Callithrix jacchus: one gene and its partners. The protein of the gene in region 1 purifies or fractionates together with the protein of each later gene. This does not show direct contact. Links are inferred from orthologs where the notes say so. Each region holds a gene or a part of one and is shown on either strand. Other genes may lie near its edges.

Region 1 (4,186 bases):
GCAGGAGGACTGCTTGAGCTCAGGAGTTCAAGACCAGCCTGGGCAACACATCAAGACCCCCATCTCTACTAAAAATTTTAAAATTAGCCAGGCATGGTGGTGCTTGCCTGTAGTCCCCACTAGGGGCAAGGCTGAGATAGGAGGCTGTCTTGAGCCCAAGTTTAGTGAGCAATGATCGCAACACTGCACTCCAGTCTGGGCAACGGAGAGAAACAATGTCTCTAAAACAAACATAAAGACTTAGAACGAGGAACAAACATGACTGAAAATATACCACCTGGACTGAAGTGGTGGTTGCACCTAGAGGTAATGAGAAAGGTTAGTTGGATGAGTTAGGGTCAGAGTATGCAAGGCTTTAGAAATAGGTAACAGGAGAGAAACTATTGAAAGTTTCTGAACGAACTTGTGATGATGAAATCAGAATTCCAGGGGAGAAAAAGGAGCATAGTAGTGGCATTCATGATGGATTTGGAAAAGAAAAATACTAAAGGTGAATGGAAAGGGTGGACCAGGGGCAACTAGTTATTAAAACAGTCCTATCATGAAGTGTTGAAATGTTGGATGTAAACACATCTACCACAGTATCAGCACAGACTAAGGGCTTGGGTAAATGTTAGTCAAATGCAAATACAAAAACTTTTCTTGGTTCATGAAATTTTCAGAATTGGCTCAAAGAATCTGTAATGCACTGAGAATTTACTATTTGCTTCAAAATATTTCATTTACTTAAGATTTTATAAGAATCACCTGCTTATAAAATTGTTACTTTGTGGTACACCCAAAGCACCTTGTTTTCTCCCTCACCCAGATATGTTTCATGCTCTTTGTACTTTTCACCCTTAAACAGATTTGGAGGGAAGATTCAAGAGGTGGGTTTTTAAATTTAAAGCAACGCTGTCACAAATTGAGAACTGACAACATGTCATTACACACTTAATTGCCACCGAATCTCAGAGTTTAAAAATTGAAAGCACCTAAGTGATAGGACCTCTCGTTGTACAGATGCGAAAACTGAGGCCGAGAGAGGGTAAATGAACAGTCCCGGGTCAAAGAGCTAATGATCAAGGTGGGACTAGAATCGACTACTTGACTCCTCTGCGTGGAGCCAAGGATCCGAAGCGGTTAGGATAAGGGAAACCCAAGGGAGAGAACAGAGTCAGGAAAGCAGCTCTTTCCAACCCTAGGAGGCCGCGGAAGGTGCAGAGCCAAGCCAAACTCAAAAGCCGCCAAGTCCAAGTACCCTTACCCTGATGGCGGCTACGAAACCACCGGCCAACCTCCCGATCTCGCGATACTGACAGGCGCTCACTTCTCCGGCTTCCGGCGGGCCCCGCCTCTCCACCGCAGCCTTTCTGTCGTCATTTCCTGTGGGTCTGTAGGCTAAGGGAGAAGATGGCGGCGCTAGGGGAACCCGTGCGGCTGGAGAGGGGTGAGTGCAGCCGAAGCTCGGCGGAGGTGGGCGGAAGGGTTGAAGGAGTCCTAGGTCGCTGGAGGGGTGGAGGGGTGACCCAGGCTTTGAGATCCGGAGCCAGGCTGTCCCTTGCGCTGGCGCTAGAGGCCGCCGATGTCTCTGTGCCTGGCTGTAGGAAGGACGCTTACGGTCTTTCAGCTGATACTCAAAGCCCTCTTCTGTTAACACGGGCTGTCCCGGGGCACAGCACAACTAAATATAACCTGCTAGCTTCGCAGACACACGCCGCACACGCGCTCCCTTGGTGGGTACAGCATAAGCAGCATTCGGAGACCCGTTTACCCGAAAAGCAAACGTCACACACCCAGTTCGTACAGACTACGTTCATTGCCTGTACAACACGAAGACGGACACACGGTCCAATTCAACAGAACCTCCCTTCCCCCTTGTTTACACGCAAACTTCTTCATTACTTTTCCCACAACCCCACTTGTATTTGGGTTGGGGTATTTGCTAGCTTTTGTGCCCCTCCCAGAAATGGAGAGGTTGCTTTAAAAACAATCCTACTGACTTGGTCTTGGGAAAAAGGTTACATAAGTAAGCAGAATAGTGGTAGATGCTAAAACACTTGCAGGTGTAAGGTTTTCAATTTCTTACAAACCCACAGTTGCAAAACTGGTTGGTTGATTCTTCCCTAGAGCAGACTGTCAAGGAAAATAAAACCTCCTCTGCTGAGTAATTAGAGATAGAGAAGACTGAAAATAGCTGGCTATGCGCCTACCAGATTTCCAGCATTCCAGCGTTTCCAGTCCTGTTACGGATTTCCAGCCTTCCACTCTGTCCCTAAATCCTTTATTTCAAACAATTTTAAGCATGCTTTTCATACACCATCATTAGAAGTCATTGATAGGAGTTAAGAAGCATGAGTAAATATTTTGAGTTCTGGTGGTAAAAAAAAGAAAGTGTAGAATAGAGACTAAAATTATATTGCACATATTAACATTTGCAGTTACAGTCTGAGTATTACTATTGTTCCCTAAGAAAACACATTTTTAGAATTACTGTACTTAGAAAAACCTCTTTCCTAATGCCTCCCCACAAACAAAGGTGCACTTAGTATCGCTGATTTGTTCTTTATAGTGTTCACCATTTGGAAGCCTCCTAGTAAATGAGATTCTTTCCCTTAAGCCTATTAAAACGTCATTTTAGACAGGACTAGCTACTCTGGGAACACTTGCCGAGTTAGGCCTAAGACTGACATCTTTCTCTTGAGCACAATGGCATTGTGTTTCCTAGATGGGAGCAAATCTGTTTGGTGTTAACAGAAGTAGGAGTTTTTCTTTGAAAAGCTAGTTGTAAGATTCTAACATATTGGTGGTCTTACTCCCAGAGGCAGAGTGTCGCCCTGTCGAAGAGACTGGAATGCAGTGGCGCAATCTCACTCGCTACTGCCTTCACCTCCCGGGTTCAAGCAATTCGGCCTCAGCCTCCCGAGTAGCTGGGACTACAGGCACACTCTGCCACGCTTGGCTATTTTTTGTATTTTAGTAGAGACGGGGTTTCACCATGTTGCCCAGGCTGGTCTCGAACTCCTGAGCTCAGGCTATCCACCTGCCTTGGCCTCCCAAAGTGCTAGGACTACAGGCATGAGCCACCGCACCCAGCCGGTTTTCTGTGTTGTTAAATGCAGCACAAAATGTGTAACTCCTGTGGCAATTAGTTTTGATAGTCATGGCTTTGCTTTGTGCTGTTACAGGCTTGTTTTCCTTTTCCATTCTTCAGTAAAGTCTCAGCCCCTTAGAGGGATGAATAACAGTCAACCCTCCATATCCATGGGTTCCACGTACATGAATTCAACCAACTACAGTTTGAAAATACTTAGAGAAAAAAATCCTGTCTATAGAATGTGTACATTTTTATCTTGTCCTTATTACCTAAACAATGTGGTAATATGGTATGGCCTGGAGCGGTGGCTCACACCTATAATCCCAGCTCTTTGGGAGGCTGAGGTAGGTGGATCATGAGGTCAATGGATCACGAGGTCAGGTGTTCAAGACCAGCCTGGTCAAGATGGTGAAACCCCTTATCAACTAAAAATACAAAAACTAGCCAGGTATGGTAGCAGTCACCTGTAGTCTCAGCTTCTTGGGAGGCTGAGGTTGCAGTAAGTAAATATCTTGCCACTGCACTCCAGCCTGGGCAACAAAGCAAGACTCCATCTCAAAATGACAACAACGACAAAAATAATGTGATATAACTATTAACATAGCATCAGATATTGTAAGTAATCTAGAGATGATTTAAAGTATGGAGCAGGAATATGCATAGGTTATATGCAAATACTACATTTTATATCAGAGACTTGAGCATCTGCAGACTTTGATATCTGTGATATCCGAAGAAGGTCCTAACAAACCCTCCACGGTTATCGAGACAGCTGTACTAGTAGTTGCCATTTAGCAGGGGAAAAAGATTACATCAGCTCTGATTCTTTCTTAGAATTCTAACAGACTCTATTAGCAAACACTCCCAACAGTTCTACAGTAGAAAATCCTATAGTACAGTTACAGTTCAGTACCTGATCACATATGATGATTTAGAATCCCTTCTAAATCATCAAAATATTATTTTAATGAAACACAAATTTGAGCACGTATTAGGTACAGTTTAGATTTAGTCAAAAGCATTTTACGTTTTTCCGTTTTTTTGTTAATTGGAAATTTTTATATGGCTTAACATATTATAACTTTATAAATAAAAATGATTGATGAACCA
Region 2 (3,565 bases), on another chromosome or scaffold:
TATGACTTCTAAAATGCTTCATCTGTATGATCTCAGAAAAATTGACTTTCATTTTCAGAAACAGGAGTGGAGCTGGACTATAAATAACATCGTCTATTTATTTTTAATTACAAAGACCTCCCTTCATTAAAATGAGGATCTATTTCCTTAAATATAGTTTGTCCCCTTTGCTAGTTACTGCTGTTTCAAAGACTGAATTAGATAGTGCCAACAATATTTTCCCTTTGAGTTGTATATCTACATTTAGACTAATTCAGGATCATTTTGCCTTTGTTATATTCTACTCGCTATTTATAGTAGAGACTTGTTCATAAACTGTGTTGTACAAAAATAAGGCACTGTCCTTAATTACAGGTGTTTTCCCTTGCTAATACATATTTATTTGAAAAAATTAAACCTTTCAAAGAAAAGAAAAAATGCTTTTAAATTAAAAAATTATTTTGTTATATATGGCTTATACCTCAACATTTTATGTCACCCTCTTTTATTTTGATTATTTGCTTTTATCAGCTTTTTAAACTCATGACACTGTGTTTTCTTTATTTGTCTTCCATTGTCCTGCAATTTCAGAGCATGTAACTTCTAATGCCAGCGATAGTGAAAGTAGTTACCGTAAGTGTCTTAAGTTACTTGTTCTTTTATAATTTCAAGTAGTAAATCCTCAGCAGGGGTGGAGGGATTCTTAGTAATATGTTCTAAAACCCTAAAGTTAATATGATTGATATTAAAATCAGGAAGAGCCAAGTAAAATTTTGTGCTTGAAAAAAATCATAATATGTAGAGGTTAATTTATAAAATTTTAATAAAATACTAAAAATAGTATTATTTGTGTACATAGTACATATATGTGTGTATATATATTTTTTATAAAAAGTAAATACTTATATGGGGGAAAACTTATATTTTGACATTTTGTTGAATTCTGTTTTTAACATGAGTGCTAAAATAATATTTTTCAGTAATGCTAAATTATAATTAGCTTTATTTCTGTTTTCATTATTTTACCAATACTGTTCTGGATCAAGTCATTGTTTATCACCAGCACTTGGTGAACAGAAGAAATAAGGAAGGAAACATTTTCAATGATTGCTCAGAAAATAATGCTAATTTCTCTTTTGATGTTTTATATTACATTCTTGGTTTTATTAAGTGAACTACACAAGCATGTGATGTTTTTAAACAGATTTGGGTGTGGGAGAAGGGGAAAGTATATAATGTTATCATTTGTAGCACCTTAAAAATTAAAATTGCTTTTCTAACTTTTTTTTTTTTTACTGCTGTCTAAAATGAAAGTAATCTTGATTACAGATGAGTACGGCTGCCCAAAAGGTCCATCCTGTTAATATCAGTCCCTAATACTTTTTCATGTTGACAGTATATACTTTTAACCATCACTCATTTGGTTGATTATTTTTCTACATAATAGTTACTTAATTTTTTTTTGGTGTGGAAATGATTTCTTGTATTTCAGCATTTTATTGCTTATAACCAGAATCCACTATAGAGTAGTGGAGTGGCTTTCTAGGCTAAAAAGAGGTAATGAAAGTATATACTGTCTGTCTCACCATTTGCATGAATTATTAAGGAGTGGAATATTCCAATTGCATGTGTTTGCTAGTATGTAAGCCATGTTTTACATCCAATAATTTAAAAAAGTTTATATTGGTTTTATATACTTCGATAATAAAATTAAAAACAAAGAAATACACACTTAAAGCAGAAAAGAATGTTTATGTCAATATATGGATTTAAAAGACTGCAGCTACATACATATAATATAAAACAATTGCAAAATTCATGGTAAAATTAATATAGGATCTTGATAATTAAAGAAAAAGTCTTCAAATACATTATCCAGTATTGATTGTTTTCATTGAACCACTTGGGTTAACACAGTCTTTTCTAATTTTGGGTGTGGGGGCAAGGGGGATATGTATTAGTTAAAAACTGCTAGAGTTTTTAATTTTGTAGTTATTTTCATTGGATTCAGATATAATTTGTAGACTCTTTAATTTAGAATATATCCTAAGCTCTAAATCTTTAATTTGGAAGCTTTAACTTCTTGTATGCTTTTAAGTTCAAAGCAGAATATATTTATCTCCTTTACTATCATGTGGTTTTTTTATTGGAAGGATTTAGTTTTGTCTAAAGCTCTTTTTGATTCACATTAAATTTCTTATTTTTTACAAAGTTTAATTTGTGAATTTTTTCATCAGTGAAATAGTGACAATAGTTTTACCTTTGTGTTTATAATTTTAAATTTTAAGGTAGTTGTAATTTTTTTAAATATACTGTTTTCAGTATTATAGTTGGTGAAAAAAGTAGCATATTTTTAATAGTAACAATTACCTAAGATGTATATATATATATATAGATAGAACTGTTCATTAAAGCATTAATCTTTAACAGAGTTAATAATTCTTAAATTCTAAATAAAGAAGTAGCACGTAGTATCACAAATGAAGATTTTAGATTTGATGATTATTTATTGATTTAAAAGCTCATTTATATTTTGTTTTACATTTAGCAAACTCACTTTTATGACTTTATGATTTGCCACTTTTATTTATTTTTTTTTACTAAATCTTGCCACAAAGTACCTCTTTCCATATCTTTGCCATTTTCTTAGGAAAGTTATAGTAATGTATATGTTGTTTATGAAGAATTAGACTAGCATCAGTTATCTTTATGTATTTTTCATCTGTGCCTTCACTTTCTAATAGGTGGTCAAGAAGAGTACGTCTTATCTTATGAACCAGTGAATCAGCAAGAAGGTTTGTGAAGCCTATTCATATTTTATAATCTTCTAGAATAATATATTTTTAATTTGGGGGAAAAAAGTCTAATACCCCCCAAAAATGTTATATGTAGAAATTTACTACATGTATTTTATGAAACATAGTTTATTCCATAGTATATTAGAATCTAGTCATTTCATATTGACTTTTATATTTGTGTTTTATTTCCTAAGCAATTTTTTTCAAGTGTTCTTGTTAACATCGCTATCTTCCAAATAACCCTTTTTTGAAAATCTTGGGAGCATCTTTGACCCTTCTCTGTTCCTCATGCTCCTCAGCTAATCAGGTTCCAGGCACTATTGTACTTCTTTCTTATTTATGACCTGCTCTTCGTCCCTTCTACCACAATGTTAGTTCTCGGCCTCACTCCCCATCTCCATTCTTCCAGCACGATCTTATGCAACCTAGAGTTTACACTTCTTTAGATCATCTTTCTAAAACACTACTGTGATTATATCACTTCCTACATCTAATTTCTCTTCTGCCCTTCTTTGCTCTGCTTCCTTACAATTTCTACTTCAAAACTGTCTGTAAAACACTATATGTTATTCTGTCATTTGCAATGTAAATAAACATAATCTGCTAAACTACCAAATTTAACTTTGAATTATCAAGTGTATGACTTCTAGCAGGAGACTGAGTAAACTTTAAGATCTTAGTCAAGATTATAAAACAGCAAATTAGGCATCTTTGGTTGACGGAAAAGGAAGATGGAGGAGGAAGAAAAAAATTCTTTGTAACAGTTACGGATATTTTTGTTCTCTGGT
Region 3 (4,334 bases), on another chromosome or scaffold:
GAGGCAGGAGAATCACTTGAACCCAGGAGGCGGAGGTTGCAGTGAGCTGAGGTCCTGCTAATGCATTCCAGCCTGGGTGACAAGAGTAAAACTCCGTCTCAAACAAAAACAAACGAACAAACAAAATAACTTAGAAAACAAAGTAAGTCACACACACTAACCATTTTTTCTTTTGGGGTATGGCTAATGGTTTCTAGGAATCCTGGAGACAGACTTTATCCGGATTTCAGTTGGGCATTTCACCAGTTCTCACTGCATCTTTGTGGAGGAATACGGGCCAAGAAGACATTTTGGTTGTGCTGTCCATCTGTACTCAAAGCCTTCGGAGAAATTTTTGAAGGCAGGAGTATTAAAGTCTTTAGAGGCATGTAGCAGAGCTCTGTCCTCGGCTCTGTGTTACTAAACACTTGGACAGAATGCTGATCAGATTTGAGAAAGATAACAAATCTGGGAAGGGTAGGCATCCCGAAGATCTTCACCACCAGGAGCAATGGTTTGCTTCGTTCAGGGCATCACTGTGTCCCTAAGGAGGTACACTAACAACCCATAGGCTGTCCAGAAGAGCGTAATGGGGAAGAATGTGAAAGAACTTGAAAGTCAGGATCTGGGGAGATTGCAAAATGGAAAAATACGGTGGGGCAAAATGAAGAAAATCGTGAGAAATAGCATATCCGCAGGCTTTGAGGGAGGACTGTGCCCCTGGGGGAAATTGTGGCCCTGGGCTGGAGTCATAGGCAGATTTTGGCCTCATAGAAGGAGAGGTCGATTAACAAACCCTGCACGTGTTCGAAGGTGGGATGGGGTTCCTCGGAAGGTACTGTCAAGGCAGAGACCAACCGATGGCTTTACTGGAAGTGTCAAGACACATTTGCTGGCATTTCTCCTTAGAACGTACTCCAATCTGTTCTGACTTCCTCCCGAACCCGCCTGAGTCCTGCCCATTTCAAGGGTGGCACATCCAGGTCCCGAGGGCGCCAGCCGTGCCTGGGGCATGGGCTGGCCTGCGTAACTCTCTGTCCCTTCAGGAGACCTCTGGGAAATAGCTCTAGCCCTTGCCATCCTTGCTTTCTGGTTTTCAGAAGTCAGCGCAGCTGCTGGCTTTCTGGAGTCTTCTGCGGGACAGTGCACACATCCAGGTGTTTACGTCATTTTTTTTTTTTAAACAAATGTTAGATTGTGTGACTAACTTGACAGAACACGAGGAATACCTTCAAGAATCATATTTTCGTCAGAAACCGTCATCCAGAAACAGAAGAGCCAAGGGCTGTAAAGCCCCAGGGAAGCCTTAGCGTCTACACCACAGAACCCGCCCGCTAAACCCCGGAGGGGCTCCTCAGGGCCAGTCAGCCCCCAGCTGTTCGCGTTTTAGACTTGGAGGCGCGCCAGTGCGCGCACCCGGCGGGAACTGAGGAGACGACCAATGAACGGGCGCTCTCTCCGCACCGGCTAGGGATTGGGCGAGCCGCTACAGCCTCTCATGGGAGGGGTGGGACTGGGACCCGTGTGCCCGCTGAGCCAGAGTCCCGGGGGCGCGTGCGCGGTCTCGCGGCGGCCGCAGGGGCCGGTCTCGCGCGGTCTAGAGGTGGAGTTGCTGGCGGCTGCGGCGGCGGCGGCGGCGGCGACGGCGGAGGCTGGCTGTGGGGCGGGGTCTAAGGATTCTGAGGTGAGGAGTCCGGAGTTTCTGGATTCTTTATCCGGTATTTTAAGGGCCGCCGGAGGGCTGTCGCTTCGGCAGTGCTTCGGAGCGGCCGGGGCGGGAGGCTAGCGGAGCCGGGGCGCGGAGGTAAGAGGCGGATTGGTGGCGGCTGGGCTGTGGAGATCTTAATCAACAGGTCTCCGGCAGCGCGGCGGGGGAGGGGCGGTCGGACTCCCCCTCCCCCACACGCCGTGCAAACTCCGGCGGGCTGGGGACCCCCGGCCGCCAGGCGGTCTTCCTCAGGCGCGGGAGCCGTGGCCGTGGAGGGTGTGAACCCACCCTTTGTCCCTCGGAGTAACGCTGCCGGCGCGGTGCCCGCTCCTTCTCCTTGGCCGGTCATGCACCTTGGCGCGGGCCACAGCCTGCCCGGCCGGAGGTGCGTGGGGCGCCGCGGGCAGTGGTCTTCCCCCTGCGCCCCCGCCCGGAGGTCGCGACGAGCTGGATTCTCCCGGCCGGGTGGGGGAGATCGCCTAGGGAACGCTTTCCTTTGGAAGTCGGAAAGTAGTCAGCGTCCCTCTGCCTGACTCAGCTGCTGGTATTCTGCTACTCATTGCGTTCTTAAACACGCAAACAGTTCCTGCTTCCTTGTGACCACTTTTAAATAAAAGCCTAATTTTGTTAATGGTTTCTGATAATATAAGTTTGCACATTGAACTTTGAAGCCTGTAAATTGTAATCTACGTTTATTGAAGGTTGGATTAAACGATCTTTGTAGTAAATAATATAACTTTCTAAAGATAATAACTCACCTGTTTACTTGATTGATATACAGTAATGTGTTTGGAATGTAGGTTTCGGTCGAAAGGTTTTTCTTGACAGTTTATGCTAAAATTAAAATCTGATGGCTAGGAAGTTTTTAGATGTGGTATGTAGTGTGTGTTTTGTCTCCATACTCGTTTACAATAGTAAGAATTTAGATTTGGAAAGTCAGTTGAACAAAAATTTTGAAATTTTGATTTGACTGACACAGTGAAAGGTGTTAATATTTCTGATTTTAAAAATATGTTTTAATGATGGTTTACTAATTATGCTTTTGGATTATACAGGAGGTTAATTACCTGTTAAATTCTGCAATAGGAACAAATGACGTGTTGGTTATTGGTGTCTTTGAAGTATTGGTGGTCATGAAAGTTACTAAATAAGCTTTCTTGAATTATGAACTACCAATTTTTTTTTTACTAGGTCCCCGTGGACATAGTGTATTGTGGATAGGTTTTGTAGGCTTTCTATTTGCAGCAGGATGAGCTATTAAATTATAATGTAAGAGATTTATAGATGAAACAGGCAAAAATAGGAAAAGCAATTCATTATTTTATCTTTAAAAATCTAGTAAATTTGGCCGGGTGCGGTGTCTGACGCCTATAATCCCAGCCCTTTGGGAGGCCGATGCGGGTGAATTATTTGAGGTCCAGTGTTCGAGACCAGCCTGGTCAACAGGGCAAAACCCCATCTCTACTAAAAATACAAAAAATTAGCCGGGTGTGGTGGTATAGGCCTGTAATTTCAGCTACTCGAGTGGCTGAGGCAGGAGAATTGCTTGAACCCAGGAGATGGAGGTTGCAGTGAGCTGAGATCACCCCACTGCACTCCAGTCTGTGCAACAGAGAGAGACTGTCTCAAAAAAAAAAAAAAATCGGCAGGGCACGGTGGCTCAAGCCTGTAATCCCAGCACTTTGGGAGGCCAAGGCAGGTGGATCATGAGATCGAGACCATCCTGGTCAAAATGGTGAAACCCCGTGTCTACTAAAGATACAAAAAATTAGCTGGGCATGGTGGCGTGTGCCTGTAGTCCCAGCTACTCGGGAGGCTGAGGCAGGAGAATTGCCTGAACCCAGGAGGTGGAGGTTGCGGTAAGCCGAGATCGCGCTCTTGCACTCCAGCCTGGGTAACAAGAGCGAAACTCCCGTCTCAAAAAAAAAAAAAAACGAGTAAACTTTAGCAGGTATCTGAATGATTTTTGGCTAGACAGACTTGAACTTGACAAGTAAAGGTGGATTAACATTAATTTGTTTTAGAATGTTAAAGCAGACAATATGTAAGTTCTACCTCAGGGTGACCCAAGTCAGTACAGTGGGTTTAGTTTTTACATGATCTAGAATTATAATCTTGATTAAAAATCTCAATTCAGGGGCACATGTTCTCAGGATCTCCTGAGGGCTATGTCATGAAAAAATTTAAATAAAATTTTATCAGACATTCCAAGAAATTTGATTAATTTTATGTAATACTGAGATTCCCTGTTTCTCTGATATTTTCTGATTTCAGGGTGTCTAGAAAAGATAGTATCTTGACATATGTGCTTTAGAATATAATTTTCTTTTCTTTTTGTGAGACAGAGTCTTGCTCTGTCGGCCAGGCTGGAGTGAAGTGGTGTGATCTGGGCTCACTGCAGTCTTCACTTCCTGGGTTAAAGCGATTCTTCTACCTCAGCCTCCTGAGTAGCTGTTCACCACACCCTGCTAATTTTCATATTTTTATTGGAGACAGGGTTTGGCCATGTTGGCCAGGCTAGCCTCGAACTCCTGACCTCAGGTGATCCACCTACCTTGACCTCCCAAAGTTCTGGGATTACAGGCACAAGCCATTGCTAGAATATAATTTTTTATCATATTCTTACTGAATCATAGGATCGTTGAGT
Region 4 (3,565 bases), on another chromosome or scaffold:
ACACTCCATTCTGTGTTTATACACCTTGAATCTCTCAGTTGGATCTGCCTTCTGTTTTAGGAGTGAGCGAGCCCGCTGGATAACTGCCCTGGGACACAGCAGCGGAAAGCCGCCAGCAGACCGAACCTGTAAGTGCTCTCAAGGGGAAGCCCACTTGGGAACATGGATGGGCTCTGCCCCCTGCTGGACGCCGGGTTACTAATGCATTTACACCACCACAGTCCTTGCCTAAGTTTCCTCCAAGGTTTCCTTCCTTCTGCTTTACACCAGAAGGGTATGATACTTGCTGTGGAAGTCAAGGGGTCTGAATTGAAATCCAAGGTGCACTTCTTTGTTGTGGAAACATGGCAAATCGTTGCTTAGCATTACAGAGCTATTTAACCATCTGCAAGTCAGTTACACCATTATACACAACATGGGGTTGTTGTGAAGATAAGTTAAATAATCTATTTTAAAAGCCCTATATGAACTATAGAGCTTTTACATTTTTAGCTGTTATCAGTGAGCAATTTAGTTAATAATGTTTAAGCCTTCTCCATACTGAGAATCTGAAAAGTATTTTTAATCTTAAAGAAAATTAACAATCATTTTTGACCTTCTAAGAAAGTGTGTTTCATTATTCTAGAGAATTAAAAACTGGTGCAGTAAAGGGTGGTGGTGTGTGCTTATTAGCTTCCTAACATTGATGCTGGGATTCCTTAGGTTATTACAATTGGAAGGTTAAATCCAAAGAATTAGGACAAAACATTCTCTCGGAATCCTCAAAAATTACAGCTTTAAGCTTAGATTAAAAGCCAGAATGGTCCGAAAGTTTCCTAAAATCAAGCTTTATATTAAAAGCAAATTAAGTAAGAAGTCACATGTCAGCATTTCTGAGGAGGTCTAATATGTCTTTTAAGCTTTTGGTTGGAACTCCATTTTTTTTTTTTGGTGGTTTTTTGAGATGGAGTCTCACTCTGTCTCCAGGCTGGAGTACAGTGGTGCAATCTCAGCCCAGTGCAACGTCCACATCCCAGGTTCAAGTGATTCTCTTGCCTTAGCCTCCTGAGTAGCTGGGAATACAGGTGTGTACCAACACACCCAGCTAATTTTTGTATTTTGTTTTATTTTTTTGAGCTCCCACTGTATGGGAGGGGATTCCAGAAAGTTGGAAATCCCGTATTTTGTTTTTAGTAGAGACAGGGTTTCACCATGTTGGCCAGGATGGTCCCAATCCCTTGACCTCGTGATCTGCTCGCCTCAGCCTCCCAAAGTGCTAGGATTACAGGCGTGAGCCACCGTGCACAGCCAGAACTCCTTTTATTTCTAAACTTTTTTGGAAGCTTTCCTGTGCTGCTGCTGGGATGGGAAAACACTCTGATGAGATCCAGGAGAACTATGTCTATTGTATATTTTGCATGGACTCAGCACATCAGCACCTCTCTCATGCCTCAGTTTTCTTAAGGCAAAAATGGCTGTTTTCTGCTCCATTGTGTGACATGACTAATGACTCCTGATCAACCTGTTATTGAGGGGATTCTTGCATCATAAAAGGCCTCTAATCTGAGGTTCTAAAATTCTAAAGCATATAGCCAAGTAAAGGAATTGCTAGAAAAGATGTTCTGCTTATTGTTAGAAGCCCAACTTGTTTCCCTCAGTGCTGGCCCTGAGTTACAGAGAAAAACGAGTAAATGTACACTGTTGGATTGCACGTGTTTTTTTCTCTGCTACTGGAAACTTAGTATGTCCTCTTTGCCGCAGCACTGACCCAGGTGGAAATCGTTAGGTCATTTACTTCCAAGCAGCCAGATGAACTCTCCCTGCAGGTGGCAGACGTTGTCCTCATCTATCAACGTGTCAGCGATGGTGAGTGGGAGCGTTCTTATGGGACACTGGTGGTCCAGGATTCAGAGTTCTACAGACCAGAGGAGTCTCATTTTGTCATCATTGCCTGTATTCCAAATCTTGATACGTGAATGAGATTACATACATGTACTGCATTCTTATCACTAAGGCTAATTTTGTTGCTTCTCTGTTCTTACTCCTTTCCTCTTCCCCAAGACTTTATTCCCCAAATCAGTGGTTTACCAAAGACCTAAAGATGACTTGGAGAGGTGTTTTGGGGACTTTGAAACATTTGCCTCTTCTCTTTTTGGGCTTTCCCTCCAGCTTTCTCATGTTCACCTGCCTCTCATCTATCTACACTTTATGATTCATCTAATTTGGCTTTGAATATAGATGCAGTCATCTGATTTGTTATTCAAAAGGAAACCATGAAGTTTTCTTTGTTCCCCAGTCCCACAGTGACCTAGTTCTCATCTCCAAAGATTCATCCTTTCAAAAAAATCATTTTTCCTGCTATCCTTACCCAAAGCATCTCCTTTGCCAGCTCAGCCCAGGTTCAGATACTCAGCCTTTTCACTTCAGAGCCTCTGTTCAGGCTCTTTCCCTGGAATGTCATTCATTCCCCCTTGAAACCTTTCCCTGTTTCATTCTCCTTACCTTTCATCATCCATGGCACCTAGCCTGGAGAGCGATACTGTGTCTCAGCTTTTTCATATTCTTCTTGAAGCCTGGCACACCACAAATACTTGTTTGATGTGGACTCTGTTCTTTTTCACAGGCTGGTATGAGGGGGAACGACTGCGAGATGGAGAAAGAGGCTGGTTTCCTATGGAATGTGCCAAGGAGATAACATGTCAAGCTATAATTGACAAGAATGTAGAGAGAATGGGACGCTTGCTAGGACTGGAGACCAACGTGTAGTCTCTCAGATGGTCTTTCGTTACTGCAAGATTTGCACGACACATAGTGGGCTGGTTGGTTTTGGGCTAGTTTTATTGTTAATTTTATCACAGCCTATTTAATTAAAAGAATGAAAACACTTGCCTTTAAGCTTGCCAGGTTGTTCTGCTCTCTTGTGAGAAGAACAGTGGATACAGTTAGTTTGCACAGCTCAGTTTTTACCTAACCACATCTTTGAAGACCTTCTTAGAGGCTGAGCAGAATAGCTGAGCAGTCCACTTCAGGGATCAGTCATCTCTGCTCCTCCTAATTTCACCATGTTCTGGCATTAAAAAACACATATCATATCCTGGTTTTCTCTATCATGCTTTACTAAGGTTACTGTTTGTCTTTAAACACCCTTGTATGGTTTTCCCAGCATTAGCAAGATTTTATATCTGTCAGGAATGTCCAGTTTTGTAAATATTTCCCTGTCTCTCTTTTTTTAAAAATCTGATTCTAATGTTTTGTTGACTTCAGAAGGAACTGGTAGAGTTCAGAAGGCGAGCTGTTATGTTTTTCTAAACCTATTCCCAGGAAAGGGACATTGACACTTGAATTTTTGTCACCTTTTTCCTCATTAGAAGGAAAGTAGAGAGCCTTACTTTAAGGATTTAAAAAAAAAAATCCATCTCACCCCACATTGGTTTTAGATAAGTATAGACTAATTAACCTAAACTACCTTTAACAACATAGAATTTAGATGGTTTCACATGTGAGAAAACCATGAATTTAGGACAGGGGTCCTACTCCCGATGCCCCTGCCCCATGTCACCCAGGCTGGAGTGTGGTGGTGTGATCT

The links.
Region 2: the proteins of LIN7C (region 1) and DLG1 purify together in Homo sapiens (affinity purification with mass spectrometry; 4 studies listed by BioGRID and IntAct, counting the BioPlex papers as one, with this or other methods). This does not show direct contact. The link is inferred for Callithrix jacchus from reciprocal best matches to the Homo sapiens genes LIN7C and DLG1.
Region 3: the proteins of LIN7C (region 1) and PALS1 purify together in Homo sapiens (affinity purification with mass spectrometry; 3 studies listed by BioGRID and IntAct, counting the BioPlex papers as one, with this or other methods). This does not show direct contact. The link is inferred for Callithrix jacchus from reciprocal best matches to the Homo sapiens genes LIN7C and PALS1.
Region 4: the proteins of LIN7C (region 1) and ARHGEF26 purify together in Homo sapiens (affinity purification with mass spectrometry; 3 studies listed by BioGRID and IntAct, counting the BioPlex papers as one, with this or other methods). This does not show direct contact. The link is inferred for Callithrix jacchus from reciprocal best matches to the Homo sapiens genes LIN7C and ARHGEF26.

Annotation. Positions count from the first base shown.
Region 1 is NC_133511.1:92,876,915-92,881,100, reverse strand, and holds the start of LIN7C (protein lin-7 homolog C), read left to right. Parts: upstream 1-1,377; 5' UTR 1,378-1,392; coding exon 1,393-1,429; intron 1,430-4,186. UniProt on the Homo sapiens protein: Plays a role in establishing and maintaining the asymmetric distribution of channels and receptors at the plasma membrane of polarized cells.
Region 2 is NC_133516.1:25,083,274-25,086,838, forward strand, and holds part of DLG1 (disks large homolog 1), read left to right. Parts: intron 1-570; coding exon 571-612; intron 613-1,293; coding exon 1,294-1,329; intron 1,330-2,723; coding exon 2,724-2,774; intron 2,775-3,565. UniProt on the Homo sapiens protein: Essential multidomain scaffolding protein required for normal development. Recruits channels, receptors and signaling molecules to discrete plasma membrane domains in polarized cells.
Region 3 is NC_133509.1:102,220,970-102,225,303, forward strand, and holds the start of PALS1 (protein PALS1), read left to right. Parts: upstream 1-1,525; 5' UTR 1,526-1,663; exon of another isoform or gene 1,664-1,783; intron 1,784-4,334. UniProt on the Homo sapiens protein: Plays a role in tight junction biogenesis and in the establishment of cell polarity in epithelial cells.
Region 4 is NC_133518.1:31,171,029-31,174,593, reverse strand, and holds part of ARHGEF26 (rho guanine nucleotide exchange factor 26), read left to right. Parts: intron 1-60; coding exon 61-128; intron 129-1,740; coding exon 1,741-1,845; intron 1,846-2,602; coding exon 2,603-2,745; 3' UTR 2,746-3,565. UniProt on the Homo sapiens protein: Activates RhoG GTPase by promoting the exchange of GDP by GTP. Required for the formation of membrane ruffles during macropinocytosis. Required for the formation of cup-like structures during trans-endothelial migration of leukocytes.